2 linked regions of the Schizosaccharomyces pombe genome follow. The protein of the gene in region 2 purifies or fractionates together with the protein of the main gene of each other region. This does not show direct contact. Each region holds a gene or a part of one and is shown on either strand. Other genes may lie near its edges.

Region 1 (3,527 bases), 730 kb from region 2:
CGACAATTGTTGGAAACTTCGTTAATAGGTCTCGAGGACTCTATCTATAGGCTGGAAGGCAGTTACTTAGAAAAAACATCGGGTACTGGCAACATTATTCGTGGATTCGAAGGTCTTTTAAAAAACAATGCATCAAACCTCCGCCGTCGTGCAGACTATTCGGAATCAGACAGACTGTTTTCTCTTTCTTCCCTGTCGAGTCCCCATACACGTAGTCCAGCTTATGACCTCGACGACTCGACAGAAACTAGTCGAAGAAGAAAACGAAAAAATGAATCTGATAGTCACGAAGGAAGAAGACGTTCTTCTTTTCGAGAACTATAATGTTACTCAGAAAACGGATATAAAGAATATACTTTAAATTTTATGAGGAAGTTCCTTTTTCGGAGCTTTTACAAATCAATTTGCGATTATTTTCTCCTTCTTCTAAGTATTTTGCAATAGCGCTACAAAATTACGGCTTAACTAGCTATTCAAAGTTTGTCCTTTAGAACAGTTACTATTTATGACTTGTATAATACAATTTTCATTTTCAAAAAATAAGCATCTCTTATGTAACGTGTGTATCTACAATCAAAGATTGATATTCCTGTATTTTGCGCTAGCATCATTTAATCAACCCAGCTTTGAATAGAAAAAAAGGGTGAGAAACAATTCACGTTTGTTACGAGGAGAGGGAAGCATGAAGCATATATAAAGATCATAACTACGTATGAAGATACGATGAAAGAAAGGATCAACATGGGACGGAACATTAAGCACGAACAAATGACCTACCAGTAGCTGTCTTTCTCTCCAATTCCACATCGGGCTTGGCCCGGTTCAAAACCTTTTGGAAGTCAGCAACACGCTTACGCATACGTTGGTGCATGTAAGCCTTGGAAGCCTTAATGTGAAAGTGTAGGGTGTTGCGGAAAACCTGGATATGAGATATGCAATCTTCACGATTTTGAGGTGTAAAATGACGCTCAAATAAAACGAATGTTACAAATCCAAAGTCATCACCCTTTTGAATACCCTGAATATCACGAATCTCCAAAGGTGGATCTCTATAGGAAAAGAGCACTTGAGGAGCGGTTTGAATAGCCGGACGGCGACGGGCATCAACGAATTCCTGCAAGAATACCTTGCCAAAGATGCGATCAGTCTCTTCACGGAATTTCGTTGAAAAGACGACTGTAACGCGATCATGCTCAGGCCATAAAACAATAGTTTCTTCATCACGATAATGAATTGCCATGAGCTCCTGAGAAGTGGCTTGCTTGTCAAGCATAGGGGCATTTTCCGGGTCTTTACGAGCCAAATCAGCTAGTTCGGCTTGTTTGGTGAATGCACGGTGGAAGGGAGCAGCTAAAACGTTTCTTTTTAACATAGAAATAGACATAGCTAATTGTTCTTTTTCCTCATCGGTAGCGGGAAGTTGTTGTAAGTCTATAAGAATACTGAAGTTGTATCCCATTTCAGGTTCATGCACATAAGCACCGTAAATCTGTTTCAGTAAATCCAGAGTACCGTAATTAACAAGCTCAGGATAGCATTTCATAGACAGACTGATCAAGATTTTCGTCTTTTCCTCAGGAGTTGAAATGTGGAACGTGACGCCATCAAAATCAGTTACCACTTGATCAATCGACGACGGGTTTTCGCTATAAATTAGTGAAATTCTTTATTGTTTGTTTCACATACCTTGAAAACCTTTCTGTCAGTAACTCGTAAATGAATATATTGTTATAATCTAATGAGAGCATGGTTGATGGTTAACGTGTGACGGACCCGGGAATTCTTATTACTCAGGTTCATATAGTGTTATAAATCCTTATACTGAGGCATCTGCAAACATGTAAGAAAACAACAGATCATATTAAAACCATGAACTCAATATATATTTTTAAAGAACTAACAATCTTTTTGTTCTCATTCTTTGTTCTAGATTACCTTTTGCTTCTTAGGTAAACTTCTACTATTTTACCGTCTATGGATATACTGAATATTTTATCTAAAATGTTAGAAATTAAAAAAAAAAAAAAAAAATTAATCAGTATATTAGGAGTTCTGAATCTAATTACTTTATCTAATTCGAAGTGTACCAATACATGGCTTTTATAAACCTTGGTTGCGAAATTTTGAAACCAGTCAACAGTCTTTAGGATATGGAATAAATAGTTATAAACTTCTAAATTAATTTCAATAAGCATTCTAATATAAAACATTGTATACTTCGCAAAAGAGAGGTATCGTAATGAACCTTTATTTAAGAGAAAAACAAACACCAAGTTAGCATGTAAAAAAGGCAAACGAAACAAGACACTGAAAAAATCTATATTTTGTGAATTTCACGTGCAATCCAAAAAAAGAAAGCGAAAAACGGATAGTAAAAAATCAACTTTGAAACAGCAGGCCTTGGTACAGTAAGGCCAACATATTTTAGACGCATAAAAGATCCGAAATTTAATAATAGTATACTGCTTCGAATAATTTGGATGGAGCTATTATGCTATTTTGACTATTAACTATGCAGAGTTCGGCATAAGCTGGGTGATATTCTTCAACACCTAATGCAGAAATTCGGTCGGCAGTTTTTTGGATCACTTCATGCACAGAACTAAGGGCCATTTCTACTGATTTCTTAAGTTTATCCTCCTTTATAGAGGCAAGGCTCTCAGTACAATCCGGGCTCTCAGCAATATGAGCTGCCATTAGTGCTGTAAATAGATCACCAGTTCCCCGAAATATCCCAGGAATCACGGGAATCAGAACAAAAAAACTTTTGGAATATATAGAAGATCCTATACAGTAGAGTTTTTCTACGCCGTTTTCTTCAACGACAAAAGATGAAATGACAACCCGTGGAACTTTATATTTTTGTTGTAGACATTCCACACATTTAAATGCTGTGTCGATTGAATTTATGCGCATCCCTGAAAGAATTCTAAGTAAAAGTCAGTGATTTTCAAACTCATTGCAGGATTGTTCCTTAAAAGTACTCACTCTGCTTCAAACCCATTAGGTGTAATTAAATCAGCAAAAGGGAGCATCTCTCTATACAGCGGGATAATGCTTTCTTCGACATAAAGCCTTCCATTATCTCCCAAAACTGGATCAAAAACTTTTTAGCGTCAGCATGTCAGTCTTCAAGGGAATTGGCAACTTCTAACGCACATACCCCAAAAAGCCTTCTTATTCTTGGATTTTACGGAGCGAACTATCTCCATTATTGCTTTTACACTTCCTATTCCACGGGCATATCCTGTCAACAAACATTCATAGCCACTGGGATTAGCTGCTGAAACACCCTTATACAAATCCAGAATTTGTTCTGCGCTTAAGGTCCTTCCTTTAACAATGGGATACCCTTGAAATACGTTAATAAAATATAAAATAAGAAATTAAATAATTTACCTGCATGATTTGAAAGCTCTACAGTTGGAATTGCATCTACGTCCCAACCTAAAAGCTGAAGTGGAAATGTAGCAGCACGATTTCCTACATATCCATGACAAACAGAAGACTATAATGTTGTTAGTTTC
Region 2 (3,226 bases):
ACATCCGATGCTAGCTTGTTTTCGTTAGTTCCTCAGAGCCCTTCTGAACACCTTACTACTTTGGAACCGATTGCTAAGGTAACAATTCGTGATCCCAGTATGCAAGTCCAGAGACCATATACCCCTTTGTACTTGGATGCCAATGAATTAAAGTTCTTTATTAGAAAGTATGAAGAGGGTCCCGTTAGTTCTTATATTCATTCTAAGAAAGAAGGGGACACTATTGAACTTCGGGGTCCTTTTAAAACCACCAAACTCGATTGTACGAAGTACCCAAGAATCGTAGCTATCGTTGCAGGAACAGGAATTGCTCCTATATATCAATTAGCTCAGTCTGTTAAATCCCCAGTCGATATTGTATACTGCTCAAGGCCTGGTCAGCCCCCTTTGCTAAAAGAAGAATTGGAAAAGGAATGCCCAAACGTAAGGGTGAAGTCCGTCCAAAATCGTTTGGTAAACATTCATGACATTTTGGATTGGGATAATGTTACAGTTCCTTTAAAGGATACCCTTTGCATTGTCTGCGGTAGCCAGAAGTTTGTTTCTACAATTGCCGGACCGAAGGCTGATTATGGCGCAAGACAAGGAGAAGTCAAAGGACTTTTATCAAACAATCCGTTTGGGAAAGTTTGGAAGCTTTAGTTTAGAAATTTTTGGCTTAAGATTTTGGGTTGCACGATCTTTGGACAATTGTGCATAATACAAAAACGATTTTTTTGTTTATCTTCAAATAATTTATTTTTACCGATTTGGAAATAAATTTATACAAATAAGGGAACTCTTAAACGTTACGTGTTATCAATGAAATGGAGCGGTTTTCTTAGGTAATGGAGAGAAAATAAAAAAAATAGTATTTAAAAAGTTTCTAAGTGTATAAATTTTTATCCATTAAATCTAATTGTTATTGAGGGTTTATGCATCTGCTGCTAAGCAGGTATAGTATGTCAAAAAGAAAGCCCATACAAGCAAAATATCTTTAAATAATTAATTGCATAAAATGTGAACGAGGGAAAGGTTCATTTTCAACTCGCATATAAACAAGCATTAATGCAAAAACTCATCAACTGCTTCACTAGTAATATCTTCAGAATCTCTAGCTTCAAATACTTTGTGCACCTGCGACACATCTTGAAACCAGACTTTAGCAGAAGCATAAATCATAGATAAGTCATTTGGGGTAGCACTTGGTCTCCAGTATATCATAAACAATGGAGTACTAAGTCGACCATCTGTGGTTTTGGTAGGATAGGAAACAAGGATAAATCTAGGATTTGTTTCCGAGAGTTCATCTGCGACCTCTTCAATACTCTGTAAATCCATGATTTCTCCATCGGGAACAATCTCCTTAGTAGCTTTATCAACCTTGAGAATGAAAGCATACATAACTGATTTCTTCAACCGCAAACGAAATCGATCAATTTCTTTCATCGTGGTATCCGAAATGGTGAACATACGAGCCTCTGATGACATCTTTCTTGTTAGTTTATAATATTTATGTAAAACCACAGCAATAGCCAATTAAGGAAATTTAATTTCGAGGGTGGTGCTTTTGTTGGGTTGAATTAATACCGTTCGTGCAGAATCCTAAAAGATATTTAAATTCATGCTAGGAGTTAAAAATTTATTTTTGAGTTTTGATAGATAATTATTGATTTTTTAAATACAAATTATTCATCAATTTTATTATATTCAAAAAGTCTATATCCACGTATGTGATATCTTTGAAGTTCGTAAATTGGCAAATTTAAGCATTGTGTTATATTTACAACTTGATAAATAAAAAAAAAAAAAAAAAAAAAAAAAAGAGGATACTTAAGGATAAATATTATATAATACCTAAGATTGAACGAACTAATGTTTTTTTTTAATATTCCTAAGAATATCCTGTTAATGCAATCACTTTTTTAATAACATTCATAAAGTCTTTGGTCATCGGGACTAGCTAATAATACTTTACGACGAAGCGATAAAAATGTATTACTTTAGCAGCTCGAAGTCGAGCGGTAATAAATCAAACACTTAAATTTAAGTACTTATGTAAACTTTACTCTATAATAGGCTTAGGTGTAAAAGTTTATTTTCTTGCAAAAAGCACATACTACACCGCACCATGCTATGTCTGGAGTAGTAAATCTGGGTTTCCCACTTCACCCACTTGGCATTTAGAAAAAGTCCCAAAAACCATCAACATCGTTGTTCGATAATCTTAACGTCTTCCAAAATCCAAACTTAAAATATATAGGATAATTTGTACAGCAATTTGAAGCCCTTTTACTTTTGCTTTATGCTGACAATATTTTAAAAACGAGAAGCCGAGGCAGTGTCGCCATTTACTACAAAGCTGGTATTGCCCTTGTAAGAAATGACTTATGTTACTTATTTGCACAAGCCTTCTTCTATAAGAAACGCCGTGTTTTGTAAATTTGTCAATGCATCCTCCTGGAACGTAATAGTGGCTAAAGTAAATTGTTTGGAAGTCTATAGCTATGAAAATAATCGATTATGTTTAATAACTTCTGCTAATATTTTTGCGAAAATTGTGAATGTAAAAGCTTTTAAGCCTGTTTCATCCCCGACAGATCATATAATCGTTGCAACAGATTCCTTTCGTTATTTTACACTTTTTTGGGATGCCAATGATAACACTGTTTCTAATGGAATAAAGATACAGGATTGCAGTGAAAGGTCTCTTCGGGAAAGTCAATCTGGACCTTTGCTGTTAGTGGATCCATTTCAACGGGTTATTTGTTTACATGTATATCAGGGTTTACTGACTATTATCCCAATTTTTAAGTCAAAAAAACGATTTATGACTTCTCATAACAATCCTTCATTGCATGATAATTTTAGTGTGCGGATTCAAGAGTTAAATGTTGTCGACATAGCCATGCTTTATAACTCATCCCGTCCATCTTTAGCAGTTCTCTACAAGGATAGCAAGTCGATTGTGCATCTTTCTACGTACAAAATAAACGTTCGTGAACAAGAAATCGACGAGGATGATGTTGTTTGTCATGACATTGAGGAAGGTAAATTGATACCTAGTGAGAATGGTGGTGTTTTTGTGTTCGGGGAGATGTATGTATACTATATAAGTAAAGATATTCAGGTTTCGAAACTTCTTTTAACATACCCGATCACTGCGTTCTCTCCTTCCATTTCTAATGATCCCGAGACTGGCCTCGATTCTAGTATTTATATTGTAGCGGATGAGTCGGGTATGTTG

The links. The genes of interacting proteins can lie anywhere in the genome.
Region 1: the proteins of gmf1 (region 2) and arc2 purify together in Schizosaccharomyces pombe (affinity purification with western blotting, with the first as the bait; one study listed by BioGRID). This does not show direct contact.

The regions. Positions count from the first base shown.
Region 1 is NC_003424.3:2,749,224-2,752,750, forward strand, and holds arc2 (ARP2/3 actin-organizing complex subunit Arc34), read right to left. Parts: upstream 1,760-3,527; 5' UTR 1,749-1,759; coding exon 1,687-1,748; intron 1,647-1,686; coding exon 755-1,646; 3' UTR 501-754; downstream 1-500. Other genes in the region: NuA4 histone acetyltransferase complex subunit Eaf6, read left to right, coding at 1-324; SPOM_SPAC6F6.11C (pyridoxine-pyridoxal-pyridoxamine kinase), read right to left, coding at 2,449-2,929, 2,989-3,106, 3,164-3,352, 3,400-3,508. UniProt on the Schizosaccharomyces pombe protein: Functions as actin-binding component of the Arp2/3 complex which is involved in regulation of actin polymerization and together with an activating nucleation-promoting factor (NPF) mediates the formation of branched actin networks.
Region 2 is NC_003424.3:2,023,579-2,026,804, reverse strand, and holds gmf1 (actin regulatory protein gmf1), read right to left. Parts: upstream 1,555-3,226; 5' UTR 1,471-1,554; coding exon 1,045-1,470; 3' UTR 753-1,044; downstream 1-752. Other genes in the region: cytochrome c-heme-linkage protein Cyc2, read left to right, coding at 1-642; protein Ddb1, read left to right, coding at 2,363-3,226.